2 linked regions of the Tamandua tetradactyla genome follow. The protein of the gene in region 2 interacts with the protein of the main gene of each other region in a biochemical or structural test. Links are inferred from orthologs where the notes say so. Each region holds a gene or a part of one and is shown on either strand. Other genes may lie near its edges.

Region 1 (6,910 bases), on a different chromosome or scaffold from region 2:
AGCGGCACCGTGCTTGCCCAGGTAAGGGGCTCTGGGGACTGTGTGAGGGCAGCCGGCTGGTGAGTGCTGCTGGGCTTGTCAGCATGAGTGTGGCTATCAGCGCGAGTGTCAGCGCGTGAGGGGTCGGGGTGGGGCTGGGGCTGGGCCCACGGGGGTCTCGGGGTGCTGGTCAGCTTGCCTCGATCCACAAATCTAGAATCATGCCCATGCGTCGTATGGCTTTCCTTCTGTGTTTGTGTCTTTTATGTGTCTCCTCAGCTCTGCTCTGTCCTCAGGCGCAGGAGAGCCAGCTACAAGGACTCTAGGGCCTGTGGCACTGGTTGAGGGGGCAGGACGGGGAGCTGAGGGAGGGCGGAAAGGGGCTTCGTGCCTTCCAGTTCCACGAACCCGGGGGCATTTCCAGAGCCTGTCCTGAGAGCCCTGGGATGGTGACCTGACGAAATGGACATGGCAGCTAGATGGGGGCTGGGAGGTGTCAGTCCTGCTCCCCCGGGACTGTCCCTATCCCCTTTGGGGACGGCCGCAACAGGCCCTCAAGGCCCCTGGGGCAGCCTAGGCTCCCACCCTGGCCTGCCCTTCAGCCTCTTCCAGCCCCAAGCCACAGAAATTGCCCCCAGGACTCTCTCGCAAGCTGCTGACTGCTGAGGGAAGCCAGAGGACAAGATGGGGGGACACAGGCACACCCCAGACAAGCAACTTCATCACTGAACCCAGCCTGGGAGCAGGGGGCTGGCGGCCGGGGCCTTGGGATCCTAGTCTTTGTTAGACCCTCCACAACCGTGTCCCCTGGCCCACTCAGGTCCAGGCTGCCCCTCAGGGGAGCTGGGAAGGAAGGGAGGGTTGATAACCCAGTCCTGTAAACATCTCACCAGCCGGTCCTCCCACCGGACTGGCCTCTGGGGGCAGGAGAAGGGGCTGGAGACCGGGCTGGTGAGTCTAAGCCCACTGGACCCGAAGCCTGCCCAGTGACAGCCTGTTCAGACCCCCCCTCTCCCTGAGACCCCTCCTCTCCTCAACCAGAGAAAGGCGCCCTGCCTTCCCCAACCCCCCCCACCGCCCCGGTCTCCTGGGAAGAAGGCTCCCCAACTCTTCAGCGCTGTCCCTCTCTGTTGTGGGGGTGTGAATGGACCAAGCTGGAGGCATCCGAGAACGCATCCCTGTCCTTCAAATGGCCAGCTTGGGGGTGGGCTGGGGGGGCTCCTCTTTCTGTCCCAGGCAGGCTGAGGGCAGGCACCGAGGATGGCATGCACAGAGAAGCAGGGGAGTCCAGGGGTGGGAGGTGGGTGCCTGAGGGAAAGGGAAGCGCCCGTTGGGCGTGTGGGTTTCTGTGTGTGTCTGAATCTGTCTGTGTGTGTTTGAATCTGCCTGTTTGTGTCTGTGCTCTGGAACCGCCCCCGCAGAGGAGCCGTGATGCTTCCTCGGGTGGAGGGTGCCGTGCTTTCCCATTTCCTCTCCTACTCTCTGCTCCCTCCCAGGAGCCACTCCCATGGGCTGTTCTCCAGCACAGGGCCTGGAAGCACTGGGAACACTGGGGATGGGACAGACCCCCGCAGCATCAAGCTGGAGCCAGTGGCCAAGCTCTTCTAGTCCCACCGCCTCTCTGTCATTTGGTGAAACCAAGGCCCTTAGACTGGGACGAACTAGAATCCAGGTCTCCCCGGAATTGCTAATGCAGGACACTCTCTACCCTGGGCCCTGGGAAGGTGCCTGGGTGGGGGACAGGGAAGAACAGCTTGGCCAGGGCAGACACAGGCCAGCACGGTGTGCCCATGTGCCAGAGCTGGAGAGGACAAGGAGTGAGTGGTCCAGCAGGCACGAGGCCGGGCTGGCATGGGGCAGAAGCGCCCATCACTGACCCGTGAGAACCCCGCTGCCCCTGCCAGCTCTGGCACTGCCCCCTACCAGCCGGCCGCGCCCTGGCACCCCGGGGGGCACCCCGCCCCACCGTGGCCTGGTCCGGCCCCTCCCGCCCTTTGCTCCAGTTCCCGGGCTTGGCACCTATGGTGGGGGTGCTGCCCGCCTGCCAGGCTCCGGGGCCGGGCCCACGGGAGGGTGGGGCGGCTGGGAAGCTGGCACGCTGCCCTGGGGGAGCCTCTTTCGGCAGGCGCCCGGGTGCCGCGGGGGGGAGGGGGGAACAAAGGCCTCATTCTCCCCGTGCGCAGCCGGTGGCATCGCCGGGGCGTTGGCGGAAGCCCCCGGGGCCTGGGAGGGGGCAGGCCCAGGCGGGGCCGCCGAATCACGGGCTCCTGTTTCCCGCAGGGTGCTGGAGGAGGAAACCGGCGGAGCAGCTTCCCCACTCCTCAGTTGTGCGTCTGGCGATGGCGATCGGAGGTCCTGCTGCGCTCTCCGCCGCGCTCTCCCTCTATTAGCCGCGCCGCGCCGCGCTGCGCCCTCGCTGGTGCCTCTTTCTTGGGTCCGGGGATCGGGCCCCCTTCCAGGCACGACCCCCTCCCCCGGCCCCTCGGCCTTTCCCCCGACTCTGCCATCTCCGACCCGGGGCGCGCGTTCCCCCCGGCCCGGCTCCCTCTCTCCCTCCGGGGACACCCGCTCCCTAGCCCCGGCCCGGCCCTCCCAGCGGCGCAGCACGGAGTCTCGGCGTCCCATGGCGCAACCCACGGCCTCGGCCCAGAAGCTGGTGCGGCCGATCCGCGCCGTGTGCCGCATCCTGCAGATCCCGGAGTCCGACCCCTCCAACCTGCGGCCCTAGAGCGCCCCCGCCGCCCGGGGGGAAAAAGAGCCAGAGCGCGCTGACCAGAGAGAGCGGGAGAACGTGGGTTCGCCCGCCGGCCGGGAGGCCCCGGAGCCCGCCCATGGGGAGCGAGCGCCCGGCACCCGCCAGGACGACCGCCGCCACCCGCGCTGCGCCCGGCCTGTGAAGCCCAGGTAAGCGCCGAGAAGCCGCGCCAAGGGCGCGCCTTGTGCGGAGACTGACAGAGGGATCTCTGAGAGGCTAAGCTCCTGCCGCCGCACACTGGGAGTGGGTTCCCCGTGCCCCTCTGGACTGGACCACACCTCGGAAAGTTAGGGTGCCCGCCGGGGCTGGACTGTTCCGGAGCGGTGGCCCCAGAAAACTGCGCTTCTGCCACGGCTCCCTTGCCTATCTCCTCCGGATTTGCAAGGCCAGCTAAGGTGCCGGGCGCTGAGAGCGCCGCGGCTCCAAGAGCTACCTGTCATCCTGGTCCCTTGCACACGTTCAATTTTCCCTCTCTCTGGGGCCCGGCCCGCTTTCCCCGCCTCCTTCCCTCCCCCCGGGCCAGGCTGCAGCTACTAGTGGCGGCGGCGGCCCTGGCACTGCACGGCTGGGGCCTCCTGACCCATCCCAGCAGAGGCCTCTCAATACCCCTCTCCTGGGCTGGCTCCCTCCTTCCCTTGGTTGGGGGTGTGCAGATTCCAGCCCCCATCAGTTGCCCTGGGTCATGGAGCCAAGAAAACTGCAGAGCACACCAGGAAGGGACAGATTCGGGCTATCCAGGTGTAGATAGAGATAGCAGCGGACAACCCTGGCTGGCAGCCCTCCCCAGTAACTCCAGCCTGCACCTCTCACCCCGACAAAACTGGGTGGGGCTGGAGTGTGGGGGTGGGCAAGGGGCACCCCCAGAACCACAGAATGCAGTATGGGAAGAACCCTCTTTCTGTCAATTCCCAAGCCCTGTTTCACGCAAGGGAACACTGAGGTCCAGAGGAGTGACATGACTTACTCAATGTCACACAGCCCTCTTGTCTCCAAGTGCAGTGCTCTTACCCTGAGCTCACCTTTGATTTCTTTCTCTTTCCTTCCCCGTGGCTTGAGATTAGGTTACTGGCTCAGTAAGGCCAGGACATATCATCCTAGAAATGGCAGCCTCTGCTGAAGGGAGCTGGCCCTGGTGGGCTGTCATATCCAAAGAATTGGGTGGGGGGCAGAATAACCTCCTTACACTGGAGCATCCCACCAGACTGGATCCTTTGGGTCGCATATGGATGGGCACTGTGGTGCCCACCTTCGGACTGGCAGTTGCCTTACTGGTTTGAGCTGCCTTGGAGCTGCCTGGGTGGTGCCCACTCTGTGCAGGGCTGTAGGGTGTCTGGGGCACGTGCTCAAGGAGCTCAGGCATTGGTGGTTATGCTCCAGGGACCCCCTGTGGGAGAACCCCATGAGGGCAGGAGAGTGATGGAGAGCACGCCTAGCTTCCTGAAGGACACCCCAGCCTGGGAGAAGACAGCCCCTGAAAATGGCATCGTGGGAAAGGAGCCAAGCACCCCACCACAGGAAGGCCTGCGCCACGGGGCACTGTGCCTGGGAGAGTCTCCACCCTTCTGGAGGGGCATCCTGAGCGCTCCAGATTCCTGGCTTACTCCTAGTTTCCCCCAAGGCCCCAAGGACACGCTCCCACTGGTAGAGGGCGAGGGCCTCCGGAATGGGGAGAGGAAGGCCAGCCGGCTGGGCAGCAAGGAGGGGCTGCGCTGGAAGGAGGCAATGCTTGCCCATCCGCTGACATTCTGCAGGCCAGCGTGCCCACCTCACTACGGCCCCTTGATTCCTGAGCACAGTGGTGGCCATCCCAAGAGTGAACCTGTGGCCTTCCAGCCCTTGCACTGCCCCTTCCTTCTGGAGACCAAGATCCTGGAGCGAGCTCCCTTCTGGATGCCCACCTGTGTGCCACCCTACCTAATGACCGGCCTGCCCCCGGAGCGTCCATGTGACTGGCCCCTGGCCCCTCACCCCTGGATGTATGCAGGGGGCCAGCCCAAAGGGCCCTCTTCCTTCAGCTTAGGCAGCAAGGTGAGTGCTGGAGCCTAGTGAGTACCCAGGACTCAAGGCCATACATGGTAGCTCAGTGGCTCTCAAGCAGCCCTGCCAGGACAGCATCATTCAGTGCGTCCATTCTGATAAAAAGTTAAGGCAGTGCCCAGGTAGGACAAATGGCATGCGTTTGCTCAGTGCTGTCTGAGGCCCCAAAGTCAACCCCAAGCATTTTTCTCCTGAGCAGCTCCATCTTACTAGGACTCTCTGCCCTCAGGCCATTTCAGGGATTGACTCACCATTATCCGCTCAGGACAAGGATTTGGGGATTGGAGCCACAGAATATGTGGCCTCGTCTTGGAGCAGGGACGTGCAGGCAGCCTCATGGTCTGGGTGTAGGGAATCTCCCCCACAGACAGTTCCCACCCCTAGGGAGGAGATTTAAAGATAATTTAAAACCCAATATGGTACTGGACATCAAGCAATCAGAATAGACCCTGGAAGCCCTTTGGCTGTGTCAGGCTTTAACTCTTTAGTAGCTGGATTGTAGGAGATGTGAGAAGTCCTGGAGGAGGATCTGGGAGTAGTCAGGGCAGTGGGCAGGCACTCAGGGGACCCAGACAATGCCATTTTCAACCAGCATGTGAGTCCTTCACTATTTCCACAACCCGTGAGGTCACAGAGGGACATACCTGCTGGAAGTCTTTTTCAGCAGTGGGAACCAAAGCTGCTGCTAACTTAAAACCCTTCCTCCTCCCTTTAGGGTTTTTACCACAAGGATCCAAGCCTTCTTGGGCTGGCAAAGGAGCCACTGGCAACTGCAGAGCCTGGGTTGTTGGGCTTAGTCCCTGGTGGGCATCTCCAGAGAGCCGCGGAGGTGGAATCCTCTTCGCTCCAGCAGAGGGATGGAGAGACAGGAGCTAGCAGGCACCAGAATCTTTGCCCTCGTTTCCTGGGGCATCCAGACAGTGTTGCCCGGACTCCCTGGTCTGCTTGTCCCCCGGGCCTGGTTCATACTCTTGGCAACATCTGGGCTGTCCCAGGAAGTGGGAGCCTTGGGTACCAGCTGGGATCACCAGCCTCATCAAGGTGCCCCTCTCCTGGCCTGCCTACCGCCCAGGTGGGTTGTTGCTCATCCCACCCATCTGCTAGAGATGGGGGCGTTGGCCCTTGTGGGAGGTGCCAGGAGGGCCTGGAGGGGGGCTCCGGCGGGGCAGTTGATTCCAGTGAGGAAGTGAACAAGCCACCTGGCCACAGGGCCTGCCCTCCAAGCCACCATACCAAGCTGAAGAAGACATGGCTCACACGACACTCTGAGCAGTTCGGGTGCCCAGATGACTGCCCTGGGGATGAAGAGAGCCCAGCTGTCCAGCCACGGGCCCTCAAGAGGGCAAGCAGCCCTGAGGTCCAAGGAACAGTGGGTAGCCCAGCTCCCAAGCGGCCACCAGACCCTTTCCCAGGCAATGTGGGGCAGGGGGCCAGAGGGTGTCAGCAGGTGCTGGACTCATCAAGAAGGAACAAGGCAGAGGCAGAACAGCATGATGACCAGAGAGGTAAGGGGATGGGTGGGGGGTTCCAGGGGGCTCTACTTGGGAGGGAATAGCCAGGGTTGGGGCTTTTCAGGGGGGCAAGGGCCACTAGTCCTTGATGAGTGGGTCACACCCAGCTGTCAGGTTTCCCACCTGGATGGTGAAGGCTCTCTGAGAGCCCCTCAGCAAGTGGCTTCTCTATCCATTTGTGTAATGCCATGGTTAAGAGCACAGGCTCTGGAGTCAGATTGCCTGGTTCCTGTCTTTGCTGATTGGTAGCTGGGTGACCTTAGGCAAGTTATGTCACCTCTCTGGGCCTCAGTTTGTTCATCTGTGATATGGCGATAAAGATGACACCTGCCTCAAAAACTGCTGCAAAGATTAAATTTAATAAAGGGGTTTGAAGAATTCCTGGCATTCACCACTTGATAAATGTTAGCCATTATGATTGTGCCATAATTCCCTGTTTGGGTAATTCCCTCCCCTGTTCTCCTAAAGAACCCCTTGTCCTCCCTCAGGAATGCCTCAGTTTGGACTCTCCCAGTGTTAGGGCTTTGGGCGCGTCTTGGTCCCCTCTGCCAGGCTATGCCCTTCATGGAGGGCTCTGGCACTGCCAGCCCTAGCCTCAGCTTTCTGGGAGCCCTTGGTTTCTCAGCCT
Region 2 (7,581 bases):
CCAGGGAGTAGGCTGAGGTATAGGGGCTGCCCTCTGAATTAAGTACCCCTATCTTCCCCTCACCCCTGTAGCCTCTGCAGAGGTGTTCACTAGGGACCTCTGTCACTGGGGTTCAAAATTCTAGTTTGCCCTGGACACTTTCAGTTTATGCCTATTGTCCTGGTATAACTGTTAATAGCACACCTTTTCATTCTAAAATGTGTCCCAGTTTGGATGATAAATTATATAGTCACTCTCTATTCCACCCCGGAGGGCACTGAGATTGGAGAGGTTAGGGGAAAATCAGGGAGGAACATAACTAGAAGCACAGTCTTTGTGGTCGAGAGCAACACCCAGGCTGGCTTCACCCCAGGTGGAGCCTCTCAGAACCAGACAGAAGTGGTGGGAGGGCTGCTGCCCATCCTGGAGCTAAGATCTCTTGGGGGCAAAAGCAGTGGGTTCTGCTTCCTGCCATCCATCTGAGGGCCAAGCACCATGCTGGGTACTCAGAAAGCACTTAAGCAAATATAGTCATTTCCTTACTTCCTTCTACTTGCATCCGAAAGAGAATAGCAACAGTGACAAATGGAAAGTTGGAGCCCTATAACTCTCCTTGTTCATTAGTGAGGAGAACAAATTGGAATGTCATACTAGCTCAGACTTCCAGGTCCTCCTGACTTCAGCACTTCTATCTCTAGATCGCCACTGTTGAGTATTATACAGCAGCAGATTTCTAGCAGAGATTTCAGTGGCAGATCTCTGCAAGGCTGATCCCTACCTGCGTAAGGAAGCAAACAACAGGAACTCCACTCCTCCTCCTGACTGGGATAACACTAGGTTCAAGTCAATCCCTCCACATGAAAGACACTGGCTTAGGACTTTGGCTTTGGACACTGGCTGTTTGTTATTGGGAGGAGGGGTAGAGAAAGAATTAAAGAGGTCCTCTTAGAGCTTCCTCTGGGGCTTAGTCCCAAAAGGAGATCAGTTCTGAGGTCATATAGGGGAAGAAGACAGAGAAACCATAAACACAAATTACCTGAGCACCACAACATAACCTGGACCTTCCACAATATTGGGACCAAGTGATAGGCTTGGCTGAAGAGGAGTGAGGATCTTCCTTTCCTCCTTCTGACCCTACTCTTCAGTCTCTCCTTTAGCTTGGTCAGGATCCAAGTCATGGCTGATCAGGGACCAGCCAAACCCTAAGCTGTGGACCCAGCCGGAGCACAGACTGTGAATTCCCCAGCTGTTTGCAGTTTGAGTCAGCTCCACAGCCTAGTTGGCTGCCATGGATTCTTCTGACTTGGGTCCAGAGAGGCTCTTGAGTAGAATCAAAGGACACTGGGCCTTCTATTTCTGCTCAAGGATCTTAACAGCATCCAAAACAAAAGCCAGAAAGAAGTTTACATTCTTACTACTTCCCAGTCTGGCCACATGCCAGTTTCAACACTATTCCAAAAAGATCCACAATCTCTTCTAGCACTTGGATGGGGTGCAGGGGGATGAGGGAAGTTTCTCTGTCACTCAACACTCTTGGTCCACAGAGTTGAGGCTCCAGAGTCCAGATAACCCATCTCCACCTCGTCAAACCATCCCAACTCCCTAGTTTGGGTTAAAGACTTCTTTGACAACACAATGCCTTCCCTGGTCCCGGAATCTTCCAATTTCCTCTGCACCCCCACTTCACCAGCAGACAAGGGCAACTAATGAGATCACTAGACAGAAATGGTATGAGGAGGATGGAAAAGTTTGCAGAAGACTGAGGTAGACCTCACGATACTAGGAGAAGGATAAGAGACATGGATTTACCACAAAACCACAATCCCTTCTCAATCAACTCCTTCTGGAATCAGAACATCCCATAACTATTGCTGTGTTGGGTGTCTGAACGCCTGCCCCCTGCGGAAGCAGCCACCACTAGCCACAAGGAGACAGCCTTCCAGCAGGGAGCTGGAGCAGAGCTGAACTCTGCCCAGGAGAGCTTCTGCAATGCTCAGAAAATGCCTGCCCAACTGCTTGCCTGGGCTCTGGCCCCTCTGGCTGCAACTGAGCCCAGACAGGAGGCTGACTCACTCACCGCACGGAGGAGGAGGAAGAAGAGGAGGAGAAAGAGGAGGAGGTTGTGCGGGAAGGGCCTGGGAGCAGTGACCCTGGGATCCCCAGCCCAGGCAGCCTGGGTCTCAGCTTCAGCAGTCCATGGGGGGCAAAAAGGGGGACCGGGGCTGCTGTCCACTGCCCACTGGAGACTACACACTGCTTCCTGGCATATACTTCCCTGAAGCCTCTTCACCCGCCCCCCACAGACGCCTGGCCCCTCACCTCCTTCAGACAGAAACTACTCTCTGAGCCCCCTCCTCACCTAGACGCTTGCCCCTGAGTGCCTATGCCTCACCCATGGTCAGGGTCTCTTGAGGAAATTAATGCAGTACTCAAAGGCTAAATAGGTCTAAAAGCATTGGAGTTAAAAAAAAAAAAAAAAGGCAGGAAACACACCTTACTTAAAAGACCCAACTTCACCAGCACAGGTGACCACACGTGGGCCCCACAAGATAATAAATAAGGCTACACACTCCACCCCCAAAAGATTTAGCGCCATCCACAGCCAATCGTTCCCCTTCTTACTCCTTCACTCTGTGCCAAGGCACCCGGACAGAGGAAGGAAACAAATGTTTCTTGTTGCCCAAGTGCTGAACACTGTGCTAGCGGAGCTTTTCTGCATTAAGCTAACCGAGCACCCAGGTGGTCTCTCTGAGAGCCCAGTGCCTCCTCAGTGCCCCAACCTCATGGCAGCCCGGCTCTCGGTCTCCAAGTTTGCCCCTGTGACTTAGACTCTAGTGCTTGCACCCGGCTATTCAGCCCCGGTACCAACCGCCCCGCACCCCAAGCCTGATCTCTATGCTGGGACCCCCTTCCCGGCTGCTCCGGGGTCCGCACCTGGTTCCGCGGGTAGACACGCTGGTCCGCGCTCCCAGCGCCTGGGGATCGGCTGCTGCCTTTTGACAAGCAGAGACAACCCAGCACCTGTCCCCGCCCCTCTCACAGGCCCCGCCCTTAGGTCCGCCCTATGCCTTGGCCCCGCCCACACGTCCAGTCCTCTCTTGCCAGGCACTCCATTCGCGCTGCAACCATCTTGACTTGGAATCAACCACTGCACTGTCACCTTGGAGACTCTGCCCCAAGTAGCCTTTCACGACTGCTGTCCCTAAAGCAAGGCATGCTTTCACCTCTTGTACATGGGAGTTTTCGATGACTGTAAGTGTGCAGATCTACGCTCCTGCCTTCGAAATTCTGTGATGTTTTACTCCCCACCCCAGGTGCCGTGGTTCTGCCCAGCCTTCCACCGACGCCTCTTCAGGTGCGTCACCCTCACCTGGGCTGACACCGCCAGGACTTTTCCGTCGTCCGTCGGGCGCTGGGGGGCGCCTGCCGACGGGCACCAACGGCTCTCTCCGCTCTCGTGGAAAATTCGGGGCGCCATTCGCCGTCGTATTACTTTTGCCGAGTGCCAGGGAGCTGAGCCCGAACCCACGCGCTATGATTAAAATAAATAAATAAATAAACGGGGCCGGAGTGGAGCCTAGATTTGCATCATCGCTCTTACTCTATGTCCCCTAGGCAGAGACCACAAATGGCTAGGTTACAGGTTCTTCGCGAATCTCGTCCTAGCTGGTTTAGTGTCAGCTTCTGGGGCCCTGATCCCCAGTTCCCCCTTCCCCGGCATGACATTGGTGTAAAAGGGAGGGAGGAAGTGAAAAATACATACTAAGACCTGGAATCGGGGATGACTATGAAAAAGCTGACATAGATTTGGGCTAAAAAAGAAAAGAAAAAGAACAATTTGGGGCCTCACTGTTTACTCTATGCTGCTTCCCTAACTATGGATTAGGTAGCACTGTGCTGGACAGTGGAGGAGATGAAAAAGACATGGTTCCCTCTGTTTTAGAGCTCACTATCCAGTGGGGAAATTCATAAATAAATAGTAATTACAACATAATTACTACATAATGTGCTGCAATAGAGATGCCCACAAAATCATCTAGCAGTTGGTGAACTCTTTTAGGCAGGGAAGGCATTGCTATTCACCTTTTATAAAGGAAGAAGCCATGGCTCAGAGGGACAAGCCAAACAGGTGGGAAACTGAAGCACAGAGAGGTTAAGTGATTTGCCCAAGGTCACACAACTGTACAATACAGGGCTAGCACTGGAGTCGAGCAAGTCTGCTGGCATAGTGGCTTCTGAACCATTTCTGAACCAATTATGCCATACTATTTGATACCAACCCCTCTCCAAATCTCAATAATTGGATCAAGATAAATGAACTGAGGGTAAACAGAAGGAAGAACCTTGAAACTGAAGTTTGCTATGCACTGAAACAGTTCGTTAAGGGGGTGTCATGGAAACTTAAAAAAAATGGAAGCGACACCCATCCTTTCACTGAACTTGGGAATGGACAATGCATGCTGAGAAACAGAAGAGATGAAATGCCCTTTGGAGGCTCGGCTGATCTGATGGGTCTGGAATTCTCTGGTTGTAATGAAAGGAAAAGAATGTTCTCAACTCAAAGCATCATGGAAACTCTAGCAATGACTCCCATGGAAAGAGGGTATCTCTAATAATCACCACTTTGGGACATTCTCAGGAAGTCTGTGAACCTCTAGAAGGGGTTAATCACTCAGAAGTCACTTTTGTGGTGCCAGAGACAGAGGTGAATGTCATCTAGAAAATAAACTTAACAAAACATGGCAAGACATGAGTTACTAGTATAAAATAGTAACTGACTATTAGTCTCTGAGGTGATTTGGAGCTATGTACCTCAGAAAAACATGTTCTTAAACTTAATCCATTCTGTAAGTGTGCATCTATTGTAAGTAAGACCTTCTGATGAGGTTGCTTCAGTTAAGGTGTGCTCCACCTCAGCACGAGTCTTAACCCTATTACTAGAGTCCTTCATAAGCAGAATGAAATTTAGACAGAGAGGAAGCCTTGGGAAACAAGAAGCTGAAGGTCAATGGAACCCAGAAGAGAAGGGAGAGGCCAGGAGATTGCCATCATGTGACAGAGGAGCCAAAGACCAAGGATCACTGGCAGCCAGCCCCAGAATGCCATACTTCAGGAAGGAAGCATCACCTTGATGATGCCTTGATTTGGACTTCACCTAGCCTCAAAACCATAAGCTTATAAATTCCCATTGTTTAAGCTAAACTGTTGCATGGTATTTGCTTGAGCAGCGAAGGAAACTAAGACACTCTTTCTTCACAGTTCTTGGTTGTAGTCTACTAAGAATACCTAACATGTAAAATTTGACAGTATCAAAAGAATTATTTGGATTATCTCATTTGATCTTCAGTACAACCTTTTCTGTTAAGCAGAGTAGAAAATACTCTCGTCTTTGTACAATTAACTGTTGTGCAGAGTTGTTGATGTTCTTACAGCTAGGGAGTGACAGAGACACGTGGACTTTCTATCTTTTGGACCACAGTCTAGAAAACTCAGCCTTTGGGAACTCAGAGGTTTTGAGTTTGGCAGCTTTGCAAAATTATAGATGTTATCAGAGATCTAGAACATTCCATCATCAGCCCCATCAACATATCCCTGATCATGTTTTTCTTATCTTCACCCAATATCTGAGTTGCTCTGTCATCTGTCTCCCGAGACTCTATCCTCCTTCAGGTCTTGTCTATACCATTAGGCCTTTCCAGCCATCTCCAGGCCAAAAAGACCTGTCAATTCTCTGGTCTTTGTATTGTCTGTTTTGCATGGCTTGTCACCTGGCAATGAACCATCTTGCATTCATATTGAACAAAGATGGATTTTCACCTCAGTTTTCATCTTAGGAATGTCATTTTGCAAAAATAGAAAAGCAAGATTACATCAGATTCGCTTCTGTGGTGTTCTGTTGTAATCACTAATTGCCTCCTGACCCTGCTTCTCCCTAGCCAAGTTCTAGGAAGGGAGGCTGCTGTTTTACACCCTGTTCTCTCAAAGCCTTTGATGACACTCAGCATTCCTGTACTACAGAATCATTATCTTTAAACTTTAGCTTGATTGCTGTATGAGGTATGCATCAGAACCTCTGCAGAAAACACTAATTATCTCTTTCTTGTCCTTGAAGTTAATATTTCTAGAACTCTTGCTTGTCTCTGGAAGGGAGGATGGTTGTCTTTATGGGATTCTCAGATTGTGTTTTTGTCAGTACTCATCTCTGATAAATTAATATATATTAAGTGCTATGGGAAAGACACCACACTATAGTGTTATAAACTCAACAGTCTGTGTAGAAACAAAGGAGCCCAACCAGGAGATTCCTAGCTGGGAGGAATGATTCCAGAAATGCCAAGCTGAGGCCACCCCATGTGCATGCCATTCCACAGGATCTGAGGCCAGTTTTTATGTGCCTATAGGTGGCCTGAGCAGGCCTGTAGTCAGGCCACAGAGCTTCATCCTATCCTCAACTGATGGACTCCCCTTTCCTTAAGGCTGGCCACTGTCCCCTAGTCTGGCTGGCACTCTCTGGACCTCCTGCCATGGTGCCAGAGCTGAAGTGGTGACCTTGTCCCTACAGAGGTTCCCAGAGACCTTGTCTCTAAGGACAGAAGGATAAGCGATCCAGAGGATTCTCTCCAGGTAAAAGTATGTCCTTTGAGTTCTCTCTGGAGCACTCCCACCTGTTTTTCCTTTTTTTAAAGCCCTTTCCCCCTTAAATATTTTATGGTACAGGTATGATAGGAATAAAGGGAAGCCTCTTACCCGGTAAGTATCTAGAGAACATTCTGAGAAACATGGAATCATGAAGTCATAGAAACAGAAGGGTCCAGCCCATCCATTTCAATCAGTTCTCTTGCTTTAGAGTTGAAAAAATTAAGTCCAGAAAGGCTAGCTCATTTATCTTTTCTAATCGATATCAGGACAAAAAAGATCCAGGACTGGATCCTGTTTGTGTTCTAGACGGTGAAAATGGAATAAATAAATGGAAGAAGCTATTAGCAATGAAAGCAAACCAAACAAAAAGGGTCTTCTCAGGACAGTGATTTTCAAAGTTTTAACTGCAACACAAAGTAGGAAATAAGTTTTTATCATGACCTAGTAAACCCATGCACATATATAAATTAGATAAAAGCCTTATGAAATACAGATATCCTACAATGCTTTCAATATTTTCTACTATTTTCTCTACCATTTCTTCCTTCCTTCCTCCCTCCCTCCCTCTCTTTTTCTCTTTCTTATGAGATCCACCAAATGGATGGATTCAACCATTTCTTTCTTTTTTTATGGGATCCACCATTAATGGGTTGTGAGCTTTAGCTTGAAAAATTCTGCCCTGGGTTATAAGCTAGGCTGACTAGATTGTTTGTGTGACCAATGGACCGAGGGCACTGCCCAGGTTTTTGTGTTGTGGTTGTTTTTTTTTTCCCCAACTGTTAACTGCCCTGGTTTTGATTGAATCTCATCTTCCTGAATAATGTGAGCAAGCTCCGTGGGATCCCTTCATTTAGTACCTGGAACATGAGATTCTAAGAAAGGCTTTGAGAGAACCACAGGGCTTAAAGAGAGCTCCCTCAGAACCTTGCAGTGGCTCCCACATGGCTCCCGTGTGGAGGATTT

What was found. The genes of interacting proteins can lie anywhere in the genome.
Region 1: the proteins of VDR (region 2) and HR form a complex in vitro, tested with the Homo sapiens proteins (2 studies listed by BioGRID and IntAct). The link is inferred for Tamandua tetradactyla from reciprocal best matches to the Homo sapiens genes VDR and HR.

What each region holds. Positions count from the first base shown.
Region 1 is NC_135329.1:22,758,513-22,765,422, reverse strand, and holds the start of HR (lysine-specific demethylase hairless), read left to right. Parts: upstream 1-3,889; 5' UTR 3,890-4,102; coding exon 4,103-4,762; intron 4,763-5,486; coding exon 5,487-6,276; intron 6,277-6,910. Other genes in the region: protein HRURF, read left to right, coding at 2,603-2,707. UniProt on the Homo sapiens protein: Histone demethylase that specifically demethylates both mono- and dimethylated 'Lys-9' of histone H3. May act as a transcription regulator controlling hair biology (via targeting of collagens), neural activity, and cell cycle.
Region 2 is NC_135333.1:107,855,920-107,863,500, forward strand, and holds the start of VDR (vitamin D3 receptor), read right to left. Parts: upstream 3,007-7,581; 5' UTR 2,914-3,006; intron 1-2,913.